Linked DNA regions of Callithrix jacchus. The protein of the gene in region 1 interacts with the protein of each later gene in a biochemical or structural test. Links are inferred from orthologs where the notes say so. Each region holds a gene or a part of one and is shown in the gene's direction. Other genes may lie near its edges. The genes, in order: CDC34, CDKN1B, PPARG, WWP2, SKP2, UBA1 and CUL2.

Region 1 (3,141 bases):
CCGAGAGGAGCCTGGAGTCCCTGCCAGTCCGTTCTGACTGCTAGTGGGTGTCCCCGCCCGGGTCCCATGTGCCTGACCTGGGCTGCTCATGCCCACGTTCCCCAGCAGCTGTGCAGAGTCGGGCCCTGGCCATCTGGACTTGTAGGAGCTGTGATCAGCTCAGGTGACTCAGAAGGCTTGAGGCCGCCTGCTGGGGACTTGACCCCACGCACCTGAGAGTCCCTGCCTTGGCCCGGATGGAGTGTCCCTCATACAAACCGTGCCTCAGGCACACGGCCTGGGCCTTATCCTGGGAGCACCAGCACTGGGAGTGGGATGGCTTCAGGTTCCCTGTTAGCTGGGGCAGGGCCTGGGGCCAGGGCTAGCTGAGCCAAGCCACAGGCTTTCTGCCCATGCAGGCACGCCTCAAGTTCCCCATTGACTACCCGTACTCTCCACCGGCCTTTCGGTTCCTGACCAAGATGTGGCACCCTAATATCTATGAGGTGAGTGCAGCCCCCATGGGCCTCACGTCCTCATCGTCTGGGACCGGGGGGCACTGGGAGCCAGTGCTGACCTCTGACCTGTCCTCTCCCTGTGCAGACGGGGGATGTGTGCATCTCCATCCTCCACCCCCCAGTGGATGACCCCCAGAGTGGGGAGCTGCCTTCGGAGAGGTGGAACCCCACCCAGAATGTCAGGTAGGCTACCTGACCGCCCCCCCCCGCCATGTCCAACGAGGACATCAGGTAGCCCGGGCTCCCTCCCAGTCTGTGGCGCCGAGGCTTGGTTCGGGACCTGCCAGCTGGCAATCCTGGGCCTCCCTACACCTGCATGGTGGGCGGTTTCACAGGGCTTGCAGCGCTATGGTGTCTGTGTGGACTCCCACCACCCCAGGCCAGCCCCACGGTCTGGAACGACCTAGAGGTGCCCCTCCTGCCCCAGTCCTGGGGTCTTCTCCTTCCCCAGCCATCTCTGGATTGGTCGCCTCATGCCATGTGTGCCCCCCGGGCCTCATCCCCAGGTACAGGCACTGGGCCTTGTTGCCGGCGTGTCCTGGAGTACAGCCCAGGCTGGATGTACGGGCATGAGGGCAGCCCCAGGTCTGACGGACGGGGTCTGCCCTGCTGCCCTCCCTGGTCCCGGCATGGGAGGCAGGAGGCTGGTGCAGTTCTAGCCCCTGCTGTTCTGGGGGCCCGAGACACAAGCAGATGCTGTGAGGGCAGATGAAGGTCACCTGCTGGGCGGGTCCAGGGTTCCCCGGGCAGGTCCACTCCAGCCGCTCTCCCCACAGGACCATTCTCCTGAGTGTCATCTCCCTCCTCAACGAGCCCAACACTTTCTCGCCCGCCAACGTGGACGCCTCCGTGATGTACAGGAAGTGGAAAGAGAGCAAGGGGAAGGATCGGGAGTACACGGACATCATCCGGTGAGGGCAGGGGGGTGGGCGGGAGGAGAGACTCCAGCTGGCAATCCTGGGCCTCTCTACACCTGCACGGTGGGCAGGCCTGCAGCTGCCCAGCCCCACTGTCCTGGTGAGGGCGGAGGAGCTTCCTGTTGCTCCTTCACAGGGCAGCGGTCACAGGTGGAGGCCGGGCCCAGCGTCTTGCCCCTTTTCCTCTTTTCCTCCTGTTTTTGAGGCAGAGTCTCACATTCTGGCCCAGGCTAGAGTGCAGTGGTATGATCTCGTTTCCCTGCAGTGTTCACCTCCCAGGTTCAAACAACTCTCCTGCCTCTGCCGCCTGAGTAGTTGGGACTACAAACTGCGACTACAGGCCATGTCTGGCTGATTTCTTTGTATTTTTAGTAGAGTCAGGGTTTCACCCTATTAGCTAGGATGGTCTCGATCTCCTGACCTCAGGATCTCGGTCTCCATGGTGCTAGGATTACAGGCGTGAGCCACTGTGCCTGGCCCCCTTTTTTTTTCTCCCTGAGATGGGGTCTGGCTCTGTCACCCAGGCTGGAGTGCCCTGGCTCAGTGCGGCCTCAGCTTCCCAGGTTCCAGCTATTCTCCTGCCTCATCCTCCTGGGTAGCTGGGTTTACAGATGCCCACCACCATGCCCGGCTGCTTTTTGTAATTTTTAATAGAGTTGGGATTTCACCACGTTGGCCAGGCTGGTCTCGAACTCCTGACTTCAGACGATCTGTCTATCTCACCCTCCCAAAGTGCTGGGATTACAGGCGTGAGCCACCACACCCGGCCTAGTGATTGATGTTTCTGTAGATTCTTTCAGGCTTGTCAGTTTACTTATGTCTCTGCTTTAATGAAGAACAGGGGCCGTGCTGTGTGCGCCCTGGTGACTGTTAGTCAGCAGTGTTGCTGTTACTCATGTGGGGAGTGTGTCCCTGCAGGCGCTTGGCCTGGCAAGCTCTGGCTGCAGCTGTGCAGCCTACCAGTGCCTTCCCTACCTGCGGTCCGCCTCCCCTGTGTGGCAGCTGGTAGCTCTCCGTGTGCTGTCCCCGTCACGCCCAGAGCTGAGCCCCACAGCCCCTTCTCTTGGGTGTCTGTTGATGTGGATGTGTGAACATGTGCGTGTCTGTACAGTCAAGCTTCCTGATCTTCCTGTTACGTCGAGGCGCTTCCTTTTCTCTGAGTCCGTTTCCTTTTCTCTGAGTCCGTTTCCTTTTCTCTGAGTCCGTTTCCTTTTCTCTGAGTCCGTTTCCTTTTCTCTGAGTCCGTTTCATTTTCTCTGAGTCCGTTTCCTTTTCTCTGAGTCCGTTTCCTTTTCTCTGAGTCCGTTTCCTTTTCTCTGAGTCCGTTTCCTTTTCTCTGAGTGAGGTCACAGGGATTTGCTCGTGGAAGCCTCAGTGTTTTTTGTTTGTTTGTTTTTCGAGACGGAGTCTTGCCCTGTCTCCCAGGCTGGAGTGCAGTGGCACGATCTCGGCTCACCGCAACCCCCCCTCCCAGATTCAAGCAGCTCCCTTGCCTCAGCCTCCCGAGTAGCTGGGACTACCGGTGCCCGCCACCATGTCCAACTAAATTTTTGTATTTTTGGTTTTCTGTTTGTTTGTTTGTTTTGAGATGGAGTCTCACGCTGTTGCCAGGCTGGAGTGCAGGGGTGCATTCTTGGCTCACTGCAGCCTCCCTCACTCCAGGTTCAAAAGATTTTCCTGCCTCAGCTGAGTAGCTGGGACTACAGGCACCTGCCACTGCACCTGGC
Region 2 (4,125 bases), on another chromosome or scaffold:
GCAAAATGTATTAACTTTGGCCCAAACCGAGATGATGGGTACGGGGCATGGGGGTGGGGAGAGCAGCTGAAGATCCACTGAGCTTTGTCTCAGGGCAGCCCTGCTCGTCGTCCTACTTTACCTTCCACCACGGTGCTCAAGCCCACAATGAGAGAAATTTCCAGCTGCAAAAGGGAGCAGAGAAACGCTGGAATATCGGACATTAGGACATGGTTTGGTGGCTTTAAGAATCATTTCATCATCTGGAGTTTGGCCCCGAGGGGAGTATTTTCACCCTTCAGCCCTCTGAAAGCATTCACTAGCATCTGAATATTGTTCTGAGTTTGTTGGAGCAGTGAAATCTGGTGAGAGAGAAGGGTGGAGGAAGGAAGGAGCTGTTGTATTTGGCGGCTGGACCCAGGTAGAGGAAACTGCTACAATCCCGGGAAAGAACTGAAAAGTAGAGAGAGACAGTTCCCACACGCAGCCGACGTCCATGGCCTTAACTCTGCTTGGGAAGCAAGAGCCTGGGCCAGGGGTGTAACCTCGGTTTTCAAAACTGAATGTGTCTGGGACAGCTACAGCGTTTATTAATGGACTTGAGAGACTACTCGAGTTTTTTTTTTTTTTAAATCTTGAGTTCCTTTCTTAATTTTCATGGAGAGAGAGCTTGAGTTTATGGTAAGTGCCGCGTCTACTCCTGGCTAATTTCTAAAAGAAAGACCTTCGCCTTGGCTTCTTCCCTAGGCCTGCTACCTCCCCAGGGATGGCAGAAACTTCTGGATTAAGGCTGAGCGAACTACCACCCACCCCCAGCTAAGGCAAACCGGCCGGGGCGGTGCCCAGCCCCTCCAGCAAACGCTCCACGGCCTCCCCCACAGGCCGCGAGGTGGGGGCCACTGGGGAAGGTTGAGCTGGGGGCAGCTCGCCACTTCGGCTCTAAGCGAGCTGCTGGTGACCTTCGAGGTCCTCTGGTCTAGGCCCCCGGCTTCCCGGGCAAGGAGCGGGAGGTCGGGACTTAGGCGCCGCGCCGGGCCCCGAACCCCAGGCCCCGCCCCAGCTTCCCGGCCGTTTGGCTAGTTTGTTTGTCTTAATTTTAATTTCTCCGAGGCCAGCCAGAGCAGGTTTGTTGGCAGCAGTACACCTCCAGCAGTCACGCGACCAGCCAATGTCCCGGCGGCGCTCGGGGAGGCGGCGCGCTCGGGAACGCGGGGAGGAGGCGGAACGGCGCCGGGGCCACCTTAAGCCTGCGCTAGCCAGCCTCGGCGGGGCGGCTCCCGGCGCCGCAACCAATGGATCTCCTCCTCTGTTTAAATAGACTAGCCGTGTCAATCATTTTCTTCTTCGTCAGCCTCCCTTCCACCGCCATATTGGGCCACTAAAAAAGGGGGCTCGTCTTTTCGGGGTGTTTTTCGCCCCCTCCCCTGTCCCCGCTTGCTCACGGCTCCGCGACTCCGACGCCGGCAAGGTTTGGAGAGCGGCTGGGTTCGCGGGACCCGCGGGCTTGCACCGCCCGGACTCGGACGGGCTTTGCCACCCCCTCCGCTTGCCTGGTCCCCTCCCCGCCCCTCCCCGCCCTCCCACTCGCCAGTCCACTTGATCAGCGGAGACTCGGCGGCTGGGCAGGGGCTTCTCCGCAGCCCCATCCCGCAGACCCTGCGCGCTCCTGTAGCTCGGGCCGTGGCTCGTCCGGGTCCGTGTCTTTTGGCTCCGAGGGCAGTCGCTGGGCTCCCGAGTGTGGTTCGGGCTGCGTAGGGGCGTTTTGTTTTGTTTCGTGTTTTTGAGAGTGCGAGAGAGGCGGCCGTACAGACCCGGGGGGAAGATGTCAAACGTGCGAATGTCTAACGGGAGCCCCAGCCTGGAGCGGATGGACGCCAGGCAGGCGGAGCACCCCAAGCCCTCGGCCTGCAGGAACCTCTTCGGCCCGGTGGACCACGAAGAGTTAACCCGGGACTTGGAGAAGCACTGCAGAGACATGGAAGAGGCGAGCCAGCTCAAGTGGAATTTCGATTTTCAGAATCACAAGCCCCTGGAGGGCAAGTACGAGTGGCAAGAGGTGGAGAAGGGCAGCTTGCCCGAGTTCTACTACAGACCCCCGCGCCCCCCCAAAGGCGCCTGCAAGGTGCCGGCTCAGGAGAGCCAGGATGTCAGCGGGAGCCGCCCGGCGGCGCCTTTAATTGGGGCTCCGGCTAACTCTGAGGACACGCACTTGGTAGACCCAAAGACTGATCCGTCCGACAGCCAGACGGGGTTAGCGGAGCAGTGCGCAGGAATAAGGAAGCGACCTGCAGCTGACGGTAATGGCCCCTTCCCAACCGTAGATTGTTTGTGTCTGGGGGCCCGCTTTGCCTGCTGGAGGGTGTTAATCTCAGCTTGTTTTCCGGCGTATTCTGATTTAATTTTGGAAGGGCTAACTTTTTTGGTCTTAGGTTTCCAGTGCTACCTGACCCACTGCTTGTCTGTTTGTAACTTTTAAGTCAGAAACTGGAGATGGTAAGATCCGATAATTTCCCTAATTTAGGACGTCGCAGTCCCTCCCACTAGCCAGCCTTAGGTATGTGACAAAGTTGGGATGTTTATCAATGGTCCGCCTCCTGGCTAGCGAGAGCGCTCTGGGGCGGAGAATGCACTTTCTGTTTTTTGAAAACAACCTCATTTTGTGCCCTTAAAGGCCATTTGGGATGACGGATACAGGATTGTGGGTGGAGGTGGTGGGTTTTTCATCCCCTAAATATCGGGCCAACTTCTGCATCCATTGTTTTTTCTAACAAAGATTGTGTGTTCTTTTTAAAAATTTCCCCCACTCTTAGATTCTTCTACTCAAAACAAAAGAGCCAACAGAACAGAAGAAAATGTTTCAGACGGTTCCCCGAATGCCGGTTCTGTGGAGCAGACGCCCAAGAAGCCTGGCCTCAGAAGACGTCAGACGTAAACAGTTCGGTGGGTTTGATCAGCAAAGGAGCACGCACTGAAACCCAGGGCCTTCAGAACCCACGACACCTGATCTTACTGTTTGCTGGCAGATTAAAAGCCTGTGGGGTTTTGTTTTGTTTATACTTCGTGAGGTCAAAAAAGTAGCGATTGGGAAGGCTGGGAATCACTGTGGGGATACTGTAATTCTTCAAAGTTTCTTTGCCCGAAGATACTTTCTCTTGAAATAGTAGACCAGAGCAGCTACTGTAACCAAGGCCCCGTCGGGTAGGAAGGGCATTTTTCTGTGAGTCCTACTGAGACATATAACAATAAGTTCTTTCCCCATCTGAACAAGAATTGGGGTACTCCCTCAGTCCCACTTCATGAGAGTTAATTTCCCAGAGGTTCAGTTTGAGTCTGTAACATTTTTGAGCCATACATGGAAAAATGGCAAATACATAATTAAGTTTAAATTTTGAGGGGAATATGTGGTAGAAATTGCTCACCTTTGGTGATGCAAGGGATTGGAGATGTGAATAGGGTGTTGTTATGTTGTGTTCTGTCTTTGACATTTTCATAAACGGTCACTTTCCCTGTTCTAGAGAGTTTGTAGAGAGAAGGAATCAGTATTTACAAAAAGCAAAATGGAAAGATAAAAAAATTACTAAAGTTTCTCAATTTCTGGGAACACTCAAGTTGCAAAGCAGAAGTTAGATTAACTCTGTCAGTAAGCAATCCGTGAACAGGTCAGCCAGTGTATGCTAATTGTGCTGTAATAGGGTGATTTGATATTTGTAGGGGAAATGGGTAGTAAATATCAAGACTGGTGACCGTGGGTCAACCCAGCACAAAGGAAGTGGAGATTTTTCCGTACTCAATCTGATCACCGTTAATAGCTAATTTGAATAATTCAGCCCCCAAATGTACATGGATTAGCTAGTCATAATTATCGAATTAACATACATATTAAGTTTTTTAGTGTCTTATAGACCAAGATTGTGACCTCTTTCTTTTTTAAAGCACATACATAGCTTAGCATATGAGGCGATCTTGATAAATATTGTTAACTTATTAAATCCTCATTTATAAAAATTTTAACAGGGATTAAGGTGGGATTCAGGTTTGTTGTGTCTTTAAATTGTGTATTCGACTTCACTATACCTTGTATTTTTCAGAGCTTATACAGAACGGTACTATAGAGCCTGTTTCATAGTACCATATGAAGTGAGAAAA
Region 3 (3,500 bases), on another chromosome or scaffold:
GTAAACTGGGTGGTACTTGACACAGAAAGACAAATACCACATGATCTCACTTAGGCATGGAATCTAAAAACGTCAAACTCATGCAAGTAGAGAGTAAAATGGTGGTTGCCAGGGGCTTGAGAGTGATTGCATAGGGAGATGTCAGCCAGAGTTTCAGTTACGCAGCATGAGTTCTGGAGACCTAAGTGTAGGTCACCTTCAGCATGGTGACTATAGTTAGTGATGCCGTATGGTATATCTGAAATTTGCTAAGACAGTAGATCTTAAGTGTTCTCACTACACATATTCATACTTTAAAAGGTATGTGAAGTGATGAGTATGGTCATTAGCTTGATGATGGTAATCATTTCACAGTAAATACATACATTAAAACATCACATTGTATACCTTGTTTTTTTGTTTTGTTTTGTTTTTGAATGGAGTCTTGCTCAGTTGCCTGGGCTGGAGTGCAGTGGTGTGATGTTGGCTCACTGCAACCTCCACCTCCTGGGTTCAAGCCATTCTCCTGCCTCAGCCTCCCAAGTGGCTGAGATTATAGGCACATGCTACCACACCCAGCCAATTTTTCTATTTTTAGTAAAGACAAGGTTTCGCCATGTTGGCCAGCCTGGTTTCAAACTCCTGACCTCAGGTGATACTCCTTCCTTGGCCTCCTAAAGTGCTGGGATTACAGGTGGGCCACCGTGCCTGGCCTGTGTGCCTTAAGTTTAAAAATTTTTGTCTATTATACTTAAATAAAGCTGGAAAAAATTTTAAATAACAGCAGTCATTAACAGACTCAATTGATGACCTTCTGTAGAAGATAATGAGAGCAGAACTGTTAGCAAGACACTTATATGAATATACTATATGTGTCTGCACTGTTTCAGGATTCTCTACTCTGATAGGTAAAGGATGACTTCCTTCCTATCATAAAACAGCCTGAGCAGCACTGAGAAGATGGTTATGTTCTTTTCTCGTTTTAAGAGCCTAGAAGAGATTACTTCGCCAAAGACTCTTTCATTTCCCTTTCTGGAACTCTGTGACATTGCTCTGTTCTCCAGGACTTAACTTCATGGCTGGTCTATTTTTCCTTTCAGAAATTACCATGGTTGACACAGAGATGCCATTCTGGCCCACCAACTTTGGGATCAGCTCCGTGGATCTCTCCGTAATGGACGACCACTCCCACTCCTTTGACATCAAGCCCTTCACTACTGTTGACTTCTCCAGCATTTCTACTCCACACTATGAAGACATTCCATTCACAAGAACAGATCCGATGGTTGCAGATTATAAGTATGACCTGAAACTTCAAGAGTACCAAAGTATGTTTATTTTCATTTTTCAGACTCCTAAGACTGGAATTGGACTAATCTCTCAGTAACCCTGTAATACTCCAGAGACTAGAACACTAATAGAGAAGGCATTCATCATTGATTTATTCACCCATTTATCCATCAAACATTAGGTATCTATGAAATGCCAGAAAGGAAGCTGGCGCCAGACCAATCTTGCCTTTCCCCCACTCTATCCTTCCTCTCTTCTTTCCTGTCTTGCTTACTTCCTTCTTAGGGACATTTTCTACCTTGATTACACTGCCATTTGTATCTCTGGCTAAGAGTCCATCATCCACGCTTTGAATTCTTTTGGCCTTTGTAAGTTAATAAGTAACAGTTCCAGGTCACCTGATATTTATTATATAACTTATCTTCACTAAATTACTGCTACTACAGTACATTTTTTTCTAATTTGTCCTTTCAGAATTTTATACTGAAACCTACTTTTGAGCACAAATTTGTCTTAACATTGTAGTCTATTGATAAATTTTCATGCCATTAACTAAATTAACATCAAAACATCAGATGCAAGAAAAACAAGAGCTGCACTTTTTGAGATAAAATGTATTTCTGTGATGCTGTTTCTTTGATTTTTATCATGTGTGGGCTGACATGCTGGTTTTCCAGAGCCACCACTATGTAACTGGCAACCATTACTTGACAATAAGTAAGAACTTCCTGTATTTCTGGTGGTTTTTAAGATAAATAATATGCTTAGTTATATTTATCTGTGTGGTTTTTAGTTAGAGCCTAATATGGAAATTTAATAGCCATGGGCCTAACTAGTAAAAGGTAGGCCGGACTTCCATTAAGTTCCCCCACCCTCTGTCAAAGATTATTTCACAAACCACGTCTTTTGACTGAACACTGATGGTAACCTGGGCTCTTATTTTTCTTGCACCTTGAAGCTAGGCATTCACAGCAGTGTTCCTTTTGTGGTTCTTTTGCAAGCACTGTTCCAAAGTACTTCTAAAATTTAATATTTAAATAAAATGTATAATTTAATATTGTGATGAATACCGAAGACAGAACATTTGCTAGCAAAATAAGCTTCCTTGTCTCAAAGCCTCTCTGTTGTCTGTTAAAGCTGTAGTATTGCAGGGTACTGGGGGTCATAGAACCACAGACTTAATTCCCGTTCCCATTTTAAATTTACAGGTGAGGCTTAGCGATGTTGTAACTTGACTGTGATTACACAGCCTTCTTTTTCTTGCCTTAACTCTAGTGTTTTTTTCATGTCCCATTGTGCTTTTATACTGAAACAATACAAATACAGCATGAAGGTGTACTATGGTGGCTTGCCCTTTTGCCTTTTTAGGACTGTTTTCATGGGATAATTATCCTCTCACGTTTCTATACACAGGTGCAATCAAAGTGGAGCCCGCATCTCCACCTTATTATTCTGAGAAGACTCAGCTCTACAGTAAGCCTCATGAAGAGGCTTCCAACTCCCTCATGGCAATCGAATGTCGTGTCTGTGGAGATAAAGCTTCTGGGTTCCACTACGGAGTTCATGCTTGTGAAGGATGCAAGGTAATTAAAAAAAAAAAAAAAATCTTTCTTCAAAGAAATCGTTGAAACCTTATTATTTCATTTGAGCAGAACCCTTTCTTTAGGTGATAAAAAATATGAATTTTTTCTTCTTAGAAAAGTGTCTTGTTCTGTCACCCAGACTGGAGTACAGTGGTACAATCAGAGCACACTGCAGCATTGAGCTCCAGGGCTAAAGTGATCCTCCCACCTCAGCCTCCCAAAGGATGATGTAATATTTGAGAGCCTAAGAAAGTGGATAAAAGCAGGGCTGCTTTACCCCACATTCCTTTCTCCAAATTGATTCTTTGAGACACTGATTTAATTTAACCCTTGCATCTTGCAGATTTTTACAAAGAGTGACTTCTCCAAGGTGTCGTGGGAAGACAGTGATGATTTGGCACCAGGATGCAGATTTCCTGCATTCCCTAGTTGTTTGTTTATTTTTTTGCTGTGCCATGTAATATTGTGTATACACAAGATTTTACAGATTATTTGTATATACATATCTTTGGATCCCTAGAGCAATCCTATAAGGTTGGGCTTCTTTATGGCCACATTACAGATGTAGAAATTATGAGTTTGTAAGACTTGCCAAGGCCATCCCTTAGTCAACGGCAGCCCTCAGTCTAGACTCTGACTCCTTAGGTG
Region 4 (3,500 bases), on another chromosome or scaffold:
GGCTCTGCTTGGTGGGCTTCTGGTGTGGCCGCGCCCTGTGTGTGTCTCTCTCTGTGTCCTGCCAGTGGTTTTACCCTATGGTAGGTTACGTCATGCTGTTCTACCACAGGGTAGAACCACGGACAGGATACCGGGACACCCTCTGCATCGAAGGACTCCTCGTCTGCCCAGCCACAAACAGCCCAGCCGCCGGGGACTGGCCCCCTTGGGACGTCCCCTGGCTGGTTTAGCTCAAGCCCAAAAGGACTCTGAATTCATGCTTGAGGCTCGAAACCAGGGACTGGGTGTTGGTTCAGATGAATGCGTGGAAGTGTGGGCACGGGTATGGTGTGGGGGGTCTGGAGGTGAAGGGAGGGCAAAGTGTAAGAGAAGTGAGATGCCTGTGGCATAGTTGGTGGGGGTGAGGTTTCTAATCGGAAGACAGTACGGATGACATTTTCATGGATCAGGATTGGGAATGTGGTGCTGTGTATTTATGTTATGTTGCCCGTCCAGGTAGAGTGGAAGCAGGGTCGTTGCTATTCAAACAGAACCTTTGCAGAAAGATCATTGTAATAAACATGCATCGTGTCCTTGTGCAGTACACAGCCTATGCAGCTGAGCATGGTGACCCAGGGTACAAGGACCCCCTTTAGCATTAGACGCTCTGGATGTTGTGATGTAAAGTCTAGGAACAGGAACACATCACTTGGGAGCCAACAGGCACACGTTTTCCTGAACCTCATCCTCAAATGCACTTGCCACCCCACCCTGGTTCACTCTAGGTCTCAGCCTGCCCTGTTCACTGATCAGCTTTTCATATAGGTTAGCCCGGGCACTTGTCACGGGACTGGACTCCTTGGAACACGTGTCCGCAGACTACCTGAGACACAATGGAGGAGAGTCACAGCTCCTGTGCAGATGTGCACTAAGGGACCCGTTATTCTTGTCTTTTCTTTCTCTTCCCTCACAGAGAGTGGTTTTTCCTCCTGTCTCACGAGGTGCTCAACCCTATGTATTGTTTATTTGAATACGCGGGGAAGAACAATTACTGCCTGCAGATCAACCCCGCCTCCTCCATCAACCCGGACCACCTCACCTACTTCCGCTTTATCGGCAGATTCATCGCCATGGTAAGGGGGCCACAGGGGAATCTCCTCTTCCTCTGAGACCTCCAGGAAGGGGCAGCATTGGAGGAGGCCCTGGGCCTGTTCACCAGGAGGCAACGTGGCATGAATAGCAGCCCCTGTGGACTGGTGTGCCCTCTCTGATCCCCACCCTTCACCCCCATAGAACTCGTAAAGTAAAAATGCAAAAAGCTCCAGGCGCCGTGGCACGTGCCTGCAGTCCCAGCTACTCGGGAGGCTGAGGTGGGAGGATCGCTTGAGCCCAGGATTCTGGGCTGTAGTGCCCTATGCTGATTGGGCGTCCACACTAAGTTCGGCATGAATATGATGACCTCCCGGGAGCGGGGGACCACCAGGTTGCCTGAGGAGGGGTGAACTGGCCCAGGTCAGAAATGGAGCAGGTCAAAACTCCCATGCTGATCAGTAGTGGGATCGTGCCTGTGAATAGCCACTGCACTCCAGCCTGGGCAACATAGCGAGACTCTGTCTTTTAAAAATAAAATGCAAAAAGCTAGCGAGAGCTCTGGAGAAACCAGAGCTTTCCTCAGTGGCTGCCATATAGGTAGTGAAGTTTCCATGTTGCTTTGTATAGGACTTGTCAAGAGGAAGCCAGGGTCTCGGGGCCACAGACTTTACTGAACATTAAATATGTGCTCTGTTGAGGGCCTTGGGATGACAGGGCTGAGTGAAACCGTAACTGCCCACCTGCTGCCTGTCTCTGGGAGGTGACACTGTCCCGGCATTTGGGAATGTCCCACTGAGACACTAAGCCTTCTGGAAGGACATTTGGAATCAATGCTAGCTTAGAACGAAACCCTGGCAGACCGGCTGGTGCAGGGTGTAGGGACATCTGTTGGAATGTGGGCCATTTCTGGGGAGGCGTCACAGCATCGCATCTGTGTTTAACTGGAAAGAGGGACATGGTGTGAATATGGAAAGGGAGGTTCTGCCACGTGCCCTCTGTTGAGGGTCTTGAGAGTGTGAGAACCTGGATTGAGAAGCGGGGCCCGTGGGAGCCACAGCTTGGGAGCTACATTCATAGCTTGAGATGTTTCAATTCTCACTTTCCTTCGCCTCTTCCCCTGCCTTCCTGAGTGTCCTGCCCTGCTTCCCTGTTATGAGGACCCAAGCTCCCCAGGAGTCTATGACTAAATATGGCCCTTCCCATCGCCTGGGAGTTCTTGGCCAAGGTGCTGGGCTGTGGAAGTGGGCACATTTTTCCCAGGTCTAGAGACCCGCCTGGCCCAGCAGCCAACAGGACAGACCGGTAAAACCCTAGACTATTACTCACCATTGGCCGCCAGCTCTCGCCGTCAGCGGTGTCTGCATTATTTTTGGCTGTCATTGCCACCCGCCCTGAGCACCAGTGAGTCAGGGCTGCTGCCACCTGGAGCTGTTTGGAGCAAGCCTTTTCTGTGAGCATGGGACAGATCTTTGCTAGCCCGGGGCCAGCTGGCCAGTGCATGGGGCAGATGCAGGCCTGGACATGGGTACCCACGCCGGCCAGCTCGGCCCAGTCCCTGAGCTCTGCAGGGCAGGCTGGGGGCCACCTGCAGGTACAAGTTAGGACAAAGGTGTCGTTTACTCCCCTGGCCCTCCTGCTGTGCCCCTGAGGCAGCCGCTGCTGCGATTCTGTCAGGGAAGGAAGGCAGGTGGCTGTGGTGGGGTTTGATATGGAGCATCTGAGAGCTGGTCTGGTGGTGCCCAGGGAAGCCAAAGCTCTGTGCTGTGCCTCTTCCTTCCCAGGCGCTGTACCACGGAAAGTTCATTGACACGGGCTTTACCCTCCCTTTCTACAAGCGGATGCTCAACAAGAGACCAACCCTGAAAGACCTGGAGTCCATCGACCCCGAGTTCTACAACTCCATTGTCTGGATCAAGTGAGCCCCCTGCCCCCACCACCCCCCACACCCCACTGCACTGATAGGAGGGATGTCTCTGGGCGGGGAGTAGGTGCTGATGGCCTGGATTTTGTCTGCCAGAGTGTCCCCTGAGCTCTCATGCAGCTTTTATAAGAGCTTGTGGAGAGAATTGCCTTCTGTGGACAGTTCTAGAATTCTCTCCTTGAGTCAGGGAGCTGTTGCTTGTCACTCTTCTGGATTCTAGGCCACCTGTGAGGCCTTGGTGTCCCACAGGCAACAAAGCAGGACCCAGGAAAGACCCCGCCACTATAGACATCTTCCCGCTTGGTCTCCTGTGCCCCCAGAGAGAACAACCTGGAAGAGTGTGGCCTGGAGCTGTACTTCATCCAGGACATGGAGATCCTGGGCAAGGTGACGACCCACGAGCTGAAGGAGGGCGGCGAGAGCATCCGGGTTACGGAGGAGAACAAGGAAGAGTACATCATGTGAGTCTCTGGTGCCGGGGGACTCTGCTCCAGGAGTCCCAGCAGGT
Region 5 (3,928 bases), on another chromosome or scaffold:
CGCATGGTCATTGTACCTAGAATATGTCACCCTCCCTACTTTAACCACCTCCAAAATCTTCTCAGCAGATAGGCTGAAAACAGCTCGCTTTTAGGCGGCGACGCAAACACACGTAGCCCGTTGAGCGTCAGCGAGCAACCAAAAGTCTTTGCTGGAGGACCCCTGCGTTGCATGGGTAAAGCCCGTTGCAAAATACAGTCCTTTCATTTATTCCCATGCTACTATTTATGAGAGCTGTCAAGGCTGCAAGGGCATGCGCAGCCTTCCCACCACCCAGGACCCGCTGGGGTCTTCGGCTCCCCTAAAATTAAACCACTGTTTTTCGTTCCAACTGCGTTTTTAGGCCGGGCGCTGTGGCTCACGCCAGTAATCCCAGCACTTTGGGAGGCCGAGATGGGTGGATCACCTAAGGTCAGGAGTTCAAGACCAACTGCGTTTTTAGCTATTGTGCGTATTTTACAGATAAAGGAAGGATCCTGTCCACAGACCCAATGCTAAGGGCCGCCTTCTCCCCGAAGGAGGAAGCAGCTTCCTGGCAAAGGGACAAACAGGTGTGACGCCCGCGGTTCGCAGCCTCTCACCTGGCTGGCGAGCTGGGCTACAGCCACCACTCAGCGGCCAGGGACGTGGGCCCCGCGGCGGGCGGCGGCGGCCACTCGGGGTCTCCCGGGTCTCCTCTTTTGCCGCCTGCTCTCGGCCCCGGTCCCCAGACACCAAAGCGTCTCACGCGTTCCCTCTCAGGCTCACCGTCCGATCTCGCCAGACAACGTCTGGATGGGACCATGAAACGGCGGCCGCCACAGCTGTCCAGGTTCTGGGATCCACACTCAGAGACGACAGCGCTGGCGATCACCAGAAGGCCTGCAGGCTCCCGGGAAAGGAATATCCGTCTGCAGTCAAGTGGCTGACATTTCCCAGTCAGTCTTAGCGCCGCCCGCTTCCGCCTCCCCGCCTACCCCGTGGACCAGCCAGTCCCGCTCCCGCGGGGGGTTGTGGGTATCTCGAAGGCGGGCAAAACTGCCAGGGAAGGAAGTAAGGGCGAGCCAGTCGGACTACGAAACAGGACGGAAACTACAATTCCCAGGAGGCCGTAGGGCCGCAGTGCCCCGCGAAGCAGAGCGGGCTTGCAGAGTCTTGCGCGCGCTGCTGGGATGGAACGTTGCTAGACTTAGCGGGTCTAGCTGCTGGGGGCCCGAGCACCACGCTCGGAGCCGCCGCGCGCCAAAGCGGGAATCCGGGAGGCGGGAGGCTCTGCAATTAATGCACGTATTTTAAACTCCCGAACCTGAGGACGCTATGCACAGGTAAACAGATTGCAAAAAGTGGAAGAGCATGAATGGACCCTCTTAATAATTCTTTTAGGCCGCGAATATCGCTACTGGCTAATATTGTTAGTAATGCTGTTAAGTGAATGGTTGCTTAGCCCCTTCTTGGGAAAAGTGTGAATGGTTGGATGCTTTAGTGCGGGGATCAGCGTGCGGTTTTATTTGGCTTCCTTAATTGGGCTTTTCTGCCACCGTTTTCAATCAGTGTATGATTGCCCTCTCTCTCTCTCTTTCCTTGTCTGTTCCCTCCACTGGGAGAAATTCTTGAGGCCTTCTGCAGGATCGTAAGTCAAAAAGCCTTTTCGATTTGTTCTTTGAATTTCTTTTTTTTTTTTTCTTGAAAACTCGCCGCGAGCATGTAAAAAAGGCGATTCTGTTAGCCACTGTGAAGGTTCTCTACAATGCATAAATTCCAGCTTCTTTAATGCCTCACTTGGGATTATTTATGGGTGTTTTCGAAAGGAACCGGGGGTATTGTGCACTTCTGCAGGAAGCACCTCCAGGAGATTCCAGACCTGAGTAGCAACGTTGCCACTAGCTTCACGTGGGGATGGGATTCCAGCAAGACTTCTGAACTGCTCTCAGGCATGGGGGTCTCCGCCCTGGAGAAAGAGGAGCCCGACAGTGAGAACATCCCCCAGGAACTGCTCTCAAACCTGGGCATCCCGCAGAGCCCCCCAAGGAAACGGCTGAAGAGCAAAGGGAGTGACAAAGACTTTGTGATTATCCGCAGGCCTAAGCTAAATCGAGAGAACTTTCCAGGTAAGGCTATGAGGGTAAAAAATGTCAGTTACGCAAAGGGTGGATTTAGCTATGCTGTTGGGAAACCTTTGTTCAGGGATCTTTACCATGGGTTCCTTTTAAGATTGCCTAATTCCGAAGTTATTTTTTCAACAAAATGGGGGAAGTCGTCAAATATGCAGGAATCTTGGTGGGTATATATGTTCTGGTGCACAATCACCTTGAAAATTTTAACCCGTGAGAAGACACTCCTGCCTTTATCCTTAGAAGGGAATCTGCCTGCCCAAAGGCCAGCTCGGTGCCACTGATGAATAGAAACATAAACAGTGGTCTTCTTGTAGGATTCCTTTTGCTTTGTACCCCTGAGTGAGCTTTTTGTCTTAATCACTTTAGGTATTTATCAGTGGATTGCTAAAGTGAATGTTTACCTAAGTGGAGGAGATTTATCTCCCCAGGTTCGCTCCCACTCCCATATTGGCTTCTCCTGTGTGTTCTGTCTCCATTACTGCTGATACTATCTTGTTTAATTACCCAACCCAAAAACCTGGAGTCAGTAAGATTCCCACCTTCCCACAATATCCAGTCGTTCATCACATCTTGTCCTCTTCTCTGGTAACTATTTCTCAAGTTCTCATCATCTCTTGCCTGAACTATTGGAGTAGATTTATAATTTCAACCTTTTCTCCCCAGATCTATCCCACAGAACCAGAATGGATTGACTGAAATGTAGAACTCGCCATATCTTCCCTCCTTAATAGCTCCCCATCCCCTAGTTTCTCAAGCAGGTGAACGGGTGCCTCCCAGAGTGAACCAGAACCCTGGAGTATGCAAAAGCCATAGGGTAAACATAGGGCATTGACCTGGGGTTATCAGTTTTTCTTGCTAGTAAGACGTTTAAAACAGTAATACAGCAAATATTTGCTGAGCACATACCATGTGCTAGGCAGTGTTCCAGGTGCTGGAAATACAGGAGTGAATACAACATAAACATTTCTGCTCTCAGGGAGCATCCATTCTAGTGAGAGAATACAATAAACACAATAAATATGTTGAGGTAGTATGTTAGAAGGTGATAAGTGCTATGGCTAAAAACACAAATAGAACAAGCCAAGAGGGATTGCAGGTCCTTGGGTGGGAAGATAGAGTGCACTTTTAAACCAGGTATTGAGGGAAAGCCTCAATTAGACAGTGAGCTTTAAGCAAAGATGTAAAGGAGGCCAGGGAGTGTGCCATGCAAATATTTTGAAGAAAAGAGCTCCATGCAGAAGGAACAGCCATTGCAAAGACCCTGGTGCATAAATGTGACATGCTTGTTCCAGGAACAGGGAGGCCGTATTCTAAGAGTGGAAGGAGCAAAGGGGAGAGTCGGGGAGATCAGGCTGGAGGTAATGTTGAGCAGAGTTGTGATGGGACCCAGTTTAACCTTTGAAAAAGGACACACTGATGTGTTGAGACTCAATTGCAGTTGTGCCAAGGGTAGAAACTTGGAGCTTTTTAAAATTTTATATTTTCAAGACGGAGTCTTGCTCTGTCGCCGAGGCTGGCGTGCAGTGGCATGATTTCAGCTTTTGGCTCACTGTCTTCACCTCCTGGATTCAAGTGATTCTCCTGCCTCAGCTTCCCATGTAACTAAGACTACAGGCATGCACCACCACACCCAGCTAATTTTTATTTTTTATAGAGATGGGGTCTCACCATCTTGCCCAGGCTGGTCTCAAACTCCTGGACTCGGGCAATCCTCCAGCCTTGGCCTCCCAAAATGCTAGGCTTACAGGCATGAGCCACCACACCTGGCCAAAGCTTGGAGTCTTGTTGGGGGTGAAGGTGGTCAGATTCCAGATATATTCTGATGTTAAAGTCAA
Region 6 (4,237 bases), on another chromosome or scaffold:
GCTTCGGCGACAGAGCGAGACTCCATCTCAAAAAATAAATAAATAAATAAATAAATAAAAGTCATATCCTGCCGGGCACGGTGGCTCACGCCTGTAATCCCAACACTTTGGGAGGCTGAGGCAGACGGATCACTTGAGGTCAGGAGTTCGAGACCAGCCTGGCCAACATGGTGAAACCCTGTCTCTACTAAAAATATAAAAATTAGCTGGGCGTGGTGCCTGTAATCCTAGCTACTCAGGAGGGTGAGGCAGGAGAATCGCTTGAACCTGGGAGGCAGAGGTTGCAGTAAACTGAGATCGTGCCACTGTAGTCCAGCCTGGGCGACAGAGTGAGACTCTGTCTCAAAGAAAACAAAACAAAACAAAACCAATAACCTCGGTGAAGCCTAGAAGGAAGGGCCACTCTCATACATCGCTGGAGGCAGTGCAAAATAGTATAACCGTCTCTTCCACCCTCCCTCTCCCTCTCCTTTGTCTATTTTCCTGCCTCCGCAGGGCTCACTGTGGGAACACAAATGCACCCCACTACGCCCAGCTAATTCTTTGATTTCTTATAGAGACCAGGTGGTGGGGGGTGGGGTGTCTCACTCTGTTGCCCAGGCTGGTCTTAAACTCCTGTGCTCTAGCAATCATCCCACCTCGGCCTGCCAAAGTGATGGGATTACAGACATGAGCCACTGCACCCAGCCAAGACTCCATTTATTAAAAGGCTAAAGAATTTTGCTGGGCGAGGTGGCTCATGCCTGTAATCCCATCACTTTGGGAGGCCAAGTGGGCGGTATCGTCTGAGCTCAGGAGTTCGTGGCGAAAACCCGTCTCTACTACGATAACATATGTAAACATAGAAAAGATAACAGTAAAAATTTGTCTGTTACAGGACCATTGACCGAAACGTTATCCAGCACATAATTTATATTACTGTGTATAGTCACAGATATCTATTCTAATACGGATTTGCATGTGAAACTATAATCTTACTTATTGTTATGTTTATGGTCTGTGTCTCTTGCTGGAATGTCAGCTCCATGAGGTCAAGGAAGAATTTCCAGCACCTGGCCCATGTCAAATGAACATTTTTGGCCACCTGAGGCTCAGTCTCCCCATCTGTAGGATGGGTGTGCCATATGGAGGCACCCACACGTTCCGCCTTCTTTTCCCACACCACAGAGCACGGCTCCCGGAATTCCACAGCCCAGGCTTGCATTTTCCCATATTCTGGGCGCTGGTGCCCACCACGTGCACCCGGCACTGGCCAGACAGAACTACCACCCCCAGCATGCCGCGCGCATTTGGGCCGTACTACAATCTGTAGGGGCATCTGGGTCTGAAACGGGCACCAGCAACACGGGAGCAGGGACTGACGCCCCTTTAGCAAAGCATCTGTGGTACATCCCAGACCCGGGGCTCTCCGAGGCCCCGCGCTTCCGAGCTCGGCGCAAACTCTGGCTTCTCTTGTACGACGGAGGTGGTTTGCTCTTCCGTTGCCCCGTGGCTTCAGCTCATCTTCGGCAGGAAGGCGAGGCTTCCGCCCGGCGCAGGTGGTAAGCTGGAGCACTGTGCCCCCAAGTGTCTGGACAGCATTTGGAGGAGGGTGCTTCCCTAATTCCAACTTCGGGGATCCCCTAATGGGCGTATTTGGAGCCTCTGGGCCTGGTGTGATATTTAGGGGGCGTCTGCTTTTGAGGAGACCCTTAGGGGGTGCCCTTTGGGGACTCCGGGGTGGGATTTGGGAGTCTGTTTGGGAGAGCACCCCTCGGAGGCAGGGTTTGCAGGGCTTTGGGGAGATTCTCAGGGTCCGTGTATGGGCACCCTTGTCTATGGAGCAGGATTTGGGTTATTCTTCAAGGGGAGAAGTAAAGTTTGAGGTTACTAAAGTCAAGGCGGGACCGGAGGAGGGCTTATTTCAGGACGGGGTGCTGGTGACAGTGCGAACAATCGGGACCGACGTGGCATTGTGGAGGTGTCAGGCCTTTGTGACCTCTGGTTCTGTGATGAGGTCCTCCCGTCGTTTGAGACTCAGGACTGCCAGGCTGGACACGTCGGGGGCCCACAAGTTTCTAAGGGAGAGGGGCCTCCCAGCTCAGGCTGGGGAAGGGACGCCGGAGCCCCGCTCTTCCTGGGCGGACGCGGCGCCACCCGGCCTCTGTTGGTGGCGGCTTTATTCATTATTCATAAGGAGGTGGGGCTGTGGTGGGAGGCCGTTTTTTGCCTCTTACACACCTAGTCCGCTAAAGGTAATTGTTTGTGAGTTATTCACGAGGGGCGGATCAGCGTGCTGAAGGGGCGTTCTGAAGTCTGCCGCGCAAACTAGAGTTCATTGATAATTCGCAAAAGTAAGTAGCGCCTTGAATTTTCTGTGATTTTTCTAGGGGCTCAGTGCTTAATTCACGCGGAGCATGGCTTTTGCAGCTTCATCTTCATGATCTGTGGTTAGCCTTCCCTTACAGGTACCAGGGTTAAAACTTGGCGTCTATCGAAGGGATGAGGCCTCCTACGTTCGTTTCTTATAGTCCGGTAGTCCTAGATAATCAACCGAGGCTCTGGATTCAAATCCCATCGATCGTTTCCAGTTGTGTGATCTTTGGCAAATAGTTCTGTGAGCCTGAATAATGGGTATGAAGATAATGATGAGATAGCTTACACTCATTTAGCCACTTAGCACATTTCATCTTCACGACAGTCCTAGGAGGTAGGTTATTATTACCCCACTTTATAGATAAGGAAACTGGGACACAGAAAGGCTAAGTAGTTTGCCTAAGATCACACAATTAGTGAATGGGTGGGCCTGGATTCAAACCGGGGTGTAGTTCCACAATCTGTAGTTTTAACCAGATGCCATCATGTCTCCCCACCCTACCCCCGCCGCCATTTAATAGTACTACTACTAATATAACATTTAGTATGTGCCAAGCACTGGTCTAAACCCTTTGTACATATTTCTTCATTTAAATTCCATCAGTAGGTAAGTTGCTGTTGTTATTCCTATTTTATGGATGGGGAAACAGTGGCCCAAGTTGGGGGTTTCTCTAGTGGTTTGGTATGCCTTCACTCACAACTAATTTTATATTAATGTAAATATATATTTACATATCTCAACATATTACCTTTATATTAATATATAATATTAAAACAATTTTAACAGTGCCTTGTGCCAGCACTGTTCTAAGGCTCATCCCGTAATTCATATTCTCTGATTTTCTTTTTTTGAGATGGAGTTTCACTCTTGTTGCCCAGGCTGGAGTGCAATGGCATCTCGTCTCACTGCAACCTCTGCCTCCTGGGTTCAAGCGATTCTCCTGTCTCAGCCTCCGGAGTAGCTGAGATTGTAATCTCAGCTGTAGGTGCCCACTACCAAGCCCAGCTAATTTTTGTATTTTTAGTAGAGACGGGGTTTCGCCATGTTGGCCAGGCTGGTCTCGAACTTTTGACCTCAGGTGATCCACCTGCCTCAGCCTCCCAAAGTGCTGGGATTACAGGCGTGATCTGATTTTCATAATAACGCATCTTTGGGAGGTGGATGGGCTCTATTACTGTCCTCATTTTACAGTTGTGGAAACTGAGGCACCTGCCAAATACATGTAGTGAGTTAAGGTTTGATTGGACCAAGACAGCCCTGGTTCCTAAGGGGGAGAATCGGGGGAGGCATGTGGAGGGGAGGCGGGGGCAGGGAGTACATTCCCCCTGGGTTTCTTGGTGGCGCTGCAGCGTTATCTTTCGTTATTTTATTTATTTATTTATTTATTTATTTTTGGGACGGAGTTTTGCTCTTGTTACCCAGGCTGGAGTGCAATGGCGCGATCTTGGCTCACCGCAACCTCCGCCTCCTGGGTTCAGGCAATTCTCCTGCCTCAGCCTCCTGAGTAGCTGGGATTACAGGCACACGCCACCATGCCCAGCTAATTTTTTTGTATTTTTAATAGAGACGGGGTTTCACCACGTTGACCAGGATGGTCTCGATCTCTTGACCTCGTGATCCACACTCTTGACCTCGTGATCCACCTGCCTCAGCCTCCCAAAGTGCTGGGATTATAGGCGTGAGCCACCGCGCCCGGCCTCTCTTTCATTATTCATGAACAGGAAGGCGTGGTCACTGCATTGGCTACAGCATCATAATCCCTATTTGCTGGGCAGGGCATTCTTGAGTGTTTCTTTGCCTTATGCACAATTCATAATTGGGTGGGACCTTTCTTGACCTCTCTGAGTTTCTAGGTTGAGCTACTGCAGCAGCATAATTCAT
Region 7 (4,300 bases), on another chromosome or scaffold:
CTCTCTACCAAAAATACAAAAGTTAGCCAGGCCTGTAGTTCCAGCTTCTTGAGAAACTGAGATGGGACACTCAGTGAGCTATGATTGGGCCACTGTACTACAGCCTCAGGGACAGAGGGATACCCTGTGTCAAAAGGCGGGGGGGAGGTGGGCCTGGCACAGTGGCTCACACCTGTAATCTTAGCACTTTGGGACGCCGAGGTGGGTGATCTGCCTGAGCTCAGGAGTTCAAGACCACCAGCCTGGACAACATGGTGACATGGTGAAACCTCGTCTCTAAAAAATACAAAACATTAGCTAGAGATGGTAGCAGGCACCTGTAATCCCAGCTACTCAGGAGACTGAAGCAGGAGAATGGCTTGAACTTGGGAGATGGAGGTTGCAGTGAGCTGAGATCGTGCCACCTCTGCACTCTAGCCCGGGTGACAGAGCAAGACTCTGTATCCAAAAAAAAGAAACAAAAGGACAAGAAATGTTGCATTGTTGACAAACTAGTTGTTAACCTTGTGACCTCTGTAAAGGCCTCAGGGATTTCCAGGGGTCTGGGGACGGCACAGATTAAAAGGGGGGAAAACGTGGGAGGAAAAAAGGTCACATAATGGAAACATACTGTTGAATTGAATTTAGTATATAAAAACTCTTTACTGAAATAAAGAATATAGACTTCATATACCATGAAGAGCAGATTAGAAGAGGAGGAAGACTCTAGGGATTGATCCGGCCAGGAGGCAGGGTTTTAAACAGGCCTTGAAGAGTTGGCACAGTTTAGAAGGAAGGGGTGGGAGGGAAAAGCTTGCTGAATGGTACAAATGAACAAGACCCTGATCGTGAGCTCTTGAAGATATGAAAGGCAGAAAGCACTAAAGCTGGGCTTCTGTTCCTCTGTGGTCTTGCATATATGAGGAGGTGATGAGTAATTCTACATTTTTGTCAACTTTACTGTTTAAAACTCCAAGGGAGGTTGTTTCCTATGATCCATGTTAGAGGGGAAAAAAAAAAAAGAAAGAAGGAAGAAAAACTCCAAGGGAGGAAGATCCTTCAAGCTGATATGCTTGGGGCTTGGTGAAGGTGAGGTATTAGTGACAAAGATGTGAAGTTTCTTTATTGAAAATACATGTATGTCCAAGACTTGCTCTGTAGATAAAAACCCACTAGAAAAAGAGTTTGTCAGGGAGAAAAAGTAGTTTTGCTAATATATTTTTGATCATTTGCAAAGCCCATGGCAGTGTGTGGCAAGAGGATTGTGCTGTCTTAGGCTCTTCACATAGGTCTGAAACAAGGAAAACATACTTCTGATGAAAGTACCATTCCCACATTGTTATTAGTAGTCCCTGGACTAATGGATAGTGGGTGGGTACTGTGTCCAACCGCTCAGCGAACCGCAATTGCCTCATTGACAGCAAGCCCAGCAGGGCATCCCTGGAATATTAATTTCCGTGGCCTTTTGCAATCGCACGAAGCTTGGCTCCCTGCGCTTGCCGTAACGAGGTCTCTACCATTGCTTTCCGAGGGGGAATTTGGCAGCAGCGGAAGAAGGAGACCGGAGGGTGTGTGTTGAGCAAAGCCGGGTGCAGAGGAGGACGATTGTTTTACAGATCCCGTAATCGGCCCGTCCTTCTCCCCTTTACCCCCCTCCCTACCGCCCCTGCCCCGCCGCGGAGCGGCGGCGGCCTTGGACTTCGCTGTGTTTCCTCGCGGAGACAGGTGAGTGTCGGCGCGCGGGCTCCCCGGGCTTCGCTCCCCACCCCCCGCGTCTCCGGGGTTGGTGGCGGCGGCCGGCCGGGGAGGCGGCCTCGGCGCACAGTAATGGCTGCGCTGTGAGCGGGGGAACGCGAGCTGACAGCCGCCGCCGCCGCCTCCGCCCACCTTCCTCGCCGGGGCTTCGTCCTTCACTCCTTCGGGCTGCCTCCCCCTCCCCTTGTCCCCTGCCCCTTGCCCCGCTTCTGCAGAAGGTAACCCCGCTGAGGGTCGGGGAGCCGGGCAGCAGGCGCCGGGAAACTTCCCTTCCCGGTTAATGGGTGGCGGGGCTGGGGCGGAGGAGAGGAGTTAGGGGCGACGAGGTCGGGGGAGAGGGATGAAGGGGGGAGGCCCGGGAAGATGGTGTCCTGTAAGTGACCTCGGCTCCCCAGAGCGCTGACCCCTAAGCCCTGCCACCCCCCTGGACTGGATCCCAGGCCTCCCCAACCCGATCTTGGCCGCCTCTCCCTCGGCCCCATTTTCCTCCGAAGGAGGGAAGGTGAGAGTGCGTGTACTCTTCTGCATATTTGCGTGCTCACACGAATACACAACTCTGTGTTTGCGTGTGTGTGTGTGGGAGGGGGGTTATCAATCTCATGCATCCTTACCACGAGTATTTTCACTTTTGTTTCCGCAGACTGCAAAGATTGATAGCTTTGGGGAGGAGTATCCTACGTGCATGTTAGACCTCTTGTCTCAACACTTAGGGTCTGCTGAAGTAAGATCCTCACACGCTTTCTAGCACTTGCTTACCCTCTAGGGAGTCTGGACCATTCCCTACCGTTATGTGCATGCAAATAAAACATTCGTGAATTGTAGGCTGTTATTAATGTTAAGCCCACACCTTTGTCCCATGGATTAAAATATTACTAGTTGAAGGCCAGTTACTCTGGGCGTTTAAATTTTGAAGATACATACTATTAACATTCAATATAGATTGTGACTGTTCAACACATAAACGTCTTTGAACTAGACTTGTTCCAAGCCTATCTTCGTAGTAATGATGGGAAATAATTACTTTGATCGGATTGACAACTGACTACATAATAATCACTTAAAAACATTCAAAATACTGTTGTCTGCCCTTTAGAATCTTACATTCCTTTTCAGGACAGACACACGAAAGGATTAGCTATACTTTGCTTCTTTTTCTTTTGACCGTATGCAGTATCTGGGAAGATCTTTCCAAAAGAGTCACGTGAGATAACAGAAGTACATAGTTTTTTTGGTTTTGAGATGGAGTTTGGCTCTTGTCACCCAGGCTGGAGTGCAGTGGTGTGATTCGCCTCCCGGGTTTAAGCAATTCTCCTGCCTCAGACTTCCAAGTAGCTGGGATTACTGGCATGTGCCACCACACCTGGCTAATTTTGTATTTTTAGTGGAGATGGGGTTTACACCATGTTGGCCAGGCTGGTCTCGAACTCCTGACCTCAGGTGATCCACCTGCTTTGGCCTCCCAAAATGTTGGGATTACAGGCCTGAGCCACTGCATCCAGCCCATAGCGTTTTGAATTACCCGTTTTTTTTTTTTAAATTTTATTTGCTGTTTATGAGTTGGAACATTTCTACAGTGTGCATTCACATAGCCTGGGAAAAATTCCTTTTCAGTTGCCTTTTGAGTATTTGGTTGTTCTCCTGCCTCTGAAATACTCTTTATTCTCCATCCTCTTTGGTGGCTTTCAGTGTTCTATAAATGTGAAGATTATCCATGTCTTTTATCTTCACCAGTCTGTCAGGAGATTAAATGTTGTGGAACTTCTTTAAAGTCATTTTTGCCTTTTGTAGACACGGGGGGTGAGACCCCGTGTCTACAAAAAAAATATCTGTCAGTTGACAAATATTAAGCACTTGGTTTATTTGCCAAGGAGCACTGCAGGCATTAAGGATACAAGGGTAAACAAGACACATTAAATTTCACATTAAATTTATCTTCTCGGAGTATCAATTCTGGCTTGGGATGGAGAGACAGACAGTAAACAGATAATCTCAGAGAGTAAGTGCTGTGTAGGAAATGAGGTAAGGAGTTGTGGTAGTGGCTGGGGGATTACTTCAGATACTATAATCTGAGAAGACCTTCCCGAGGTAAAGTTTGAAATTCTGAGGGAAAAGTTTCTATTTTAGGGAGGATCAAATGGAGAAGCCTTGAGGTGCTATCAAGCTGGGATCCAACGAACTGAAAGTGGCTTAAAGTGGACTGTGTTCGGGCTCTTCCCTGGTCTCTTAACTCAGACTGCAAAAGTAGACTTTGCTCTCTTTTTTAAAATAAAAAAAAAAGAGAGAGATTAAGGGTAGGTCCTAGCCAGGGGCTGGATCATGTTGGCTTTTGTTCTTCTGAAGCTTTAAGAGGCTTTTGGAACTCTTCTAAACTGGGAGTGGTAAGGTCTGATTGAGAATCAGACTGCCATTTGGAAAAGAGACACACAAGGAAACCAGTGAAAATGTTTTGAGATGTGTTTTGGAGTTGAAGATACTTACTGAAATTGTCATGTTTTGGATGAGCATGCAGTTGGGACAGGGGTTTTTGGCTTCTGCTGGAGGATGATGATGCTGTGTACTGAGACGA

The links.
Region 2: of the proteins of CDC34 (region 1) and CDKN1B, one has a biochemical effect on the other in vitro, tested with the Homo sapiens proteins (3 studies listed by BioGRID, with this or other methods). The link is inferred for Callithrix jacchus from reciprocal best matches to the Homo sapiens genes CDC34 and CDKN1B.
Region 3: the proteins of CDC34 (region 1) and PPARG form a complex in vitro, tested with the Homo sapiens proteins (2 studies listed by BioGRID). The link is inferred for Callithrix jacchus from reciprocal best matches to the Homo sapiens genes CDC34 and PPARG.
Region 4: the proteins of CDC34 (region 1) and WWP2 form a complex in vitro, tested with the Homo sapiens proteins (2 studies listed by BioGRID, with this or other methods). The link is inferred for Callithrix jacchus from reciprocal best matches to the Homo sapiens genes CDC34 and WWP2.
Region 5: the proteins of CDC34 (region 1) and SKP2 form a complex in vitro, tested with the Homo sapiens proteins (3 studies listed by BioGRID, with this or other methods). The link is inferred for Callithrix jacchus from reciprocal best matches to the Homo sapiens genes CDC34 and SKP2.
Region 6: of the proteins of CDC34 (region 1) and UBA1, one has a biochemical effect on the other in vitro, tested with the Homo sapiens proteins (7 studies listed by BioGRID, with this or other methods). The link is inferred for Callithrix jacchus from reciprocal best matches to the Homo sapiens genes CDC34 and UBA1.
Region 7: the proteins of CDC34 (region 1) and CUL2 form a complex in vitro, tested with the Homo sapiens proteins (2 studies listed by BioGRID). The link is inferred for Callithrix jacchus from reciprocal best matches to the Homo sapiens genes CDC34 and CUL2.

What each region holds. Positions count from the first base shown.
Region 1 is NC_133523.1:502,222-505,362, forward strand, and holds part of CDC34 (ubiquitin-conjugating enzyme E2 R1), read left to right. Parts: intron 1-398; coding exon 399-485; intron 486-582; coding exon 583-680; intron 681-1,273; coding exon 1,274-1,408; intron 1,409-3,141. UniProt on the Homo sapiens protein: E2 ubiquitin-conjugating enzyme that accepts ubiquitin from an E1 ubiquitin-activating protein, and catalyzes its covalent attachment to other proteins by an E3 ubiquitin-protein ligase complex. In vitro catalyzes 'Lys-48'-linked polyubiquitination.
Region 2 is NC_133510.1:10,589,263-10,593,387, reverse strand, and holds the start of CDKN1B (cyclin-dependent kinase inhibitor 1B), read left to right. Parts: upstream 1-1,325; 5' UTR 1,326-1,801; coding exon 1,802-2,276; intron 2,277-2,789; coding exon 2,790-2,911; 3' UTR 2,912-2,919; intron 2,920-4,125. UniProt on the Homo sapiens protein: Important regulator of cell cycle progression. Inhibits the kinase activity of CDK2 bound to cyclin A, but has little inhibitory activity on CDK2 bound to SPDYA. Involved in G1 arrest. Potent inhibitor of cyclin E- and cyclin A-CDK2 complexes.
Region 3 is NC_133516.1:69,544,525-69,548,024, forward strand, and holds part of PPARG (peroxisome proliferator-activated receptor gamma), read left to right. Parts: intron 1-1,079; coding exon 1,080-1,307; intron 1,308-2,682; coding exon 2,683-2,852; intron 2,853-3,500. UniProt on the Homo sapiens protein: Nuclear receptor that binds peroxisome proliferators such as hypolipidemic drugs and fatty acids.
Region 4 is NC_133521.1:27,516,110-27,519,609, forward strand, and holds part of WWP2 (NEDD4-like E3 ubiquitin-protein ligase WWP2), read left to right. Parts: intron 1-952; coding exon 953-1,112; intron 1,113-2,852; coding exon 2,853-2,986; intron 2,987-3,312; coding exon 3,313-3,453; intron 3,454-3,500. UniProt on the Homo sapiens protein: E3 ubiquitin-protein ligase which accepts ubiquitin from an E2 ubiquitin-conjugating enzyme in the form of a thioester and then directly transfers the ubiquitin to targeted substrates.
Region 5 is NC_133503.1:169,488,150-169,492,077, reverse strand, and holds the start of SKP2 (S-phase kinase-associated protein 2), read left to right. Parts: upstream 1-1,128; 5' UTR 1,129-1,296; coding exon of another isoform or gene 1,297-1,304; 5' UTR 1,305-1,445; coding exon 1,446-1,609; intron 1,610-1,787; exon of another isoform or gene 1,788-1,815; coding exon 1,816-2,087; intron 2,088-3,928. UniProt on the Homo sapiens protein: Substrate recognition component of a SCF (SKP1-CUL1-F-box protein) E3 ubiquitin-protein ligase complex which mediates the ubiquitination and subsequent proteasomal degradation of target proteins involved in cell cycle progression, signal transduction and transcription.
Region 6 is NC_133524.1:48,150,585-48,154,821, forward strand, and holds the start of UBA1 (ubiquitin-like modifier-activating enzyme 1), read left to right. Parts: upstream 1-1,437; 5' UTR 1,438-1,541; intron 1,542-2,041; exon of another isoform or gene 2,042-2,333; intron 2,334-4,237. UniProt on the Homo sapiens protein: Catalyzes the first step in ubiquitin conjugation to mark cellular proteins for degradation through the ubiquitin-proteasome system.
Region 7 is NC_133508.1:34,722,559-34,726,858, reverse strand, and holds the start of CUL2 (cullin-2), read left to right. Parts: upstream 1-1,500; 5' UTR 1,501-1,704; intron 1,705-1,798; exon of another isoform or gene 1,799-1,952; intron 1,953-2,129; exon of another isoform or gene 2,130-2,236; intron 2,237-2,374; 5' UTR 2,375-2,455; intron 2,456-4,300.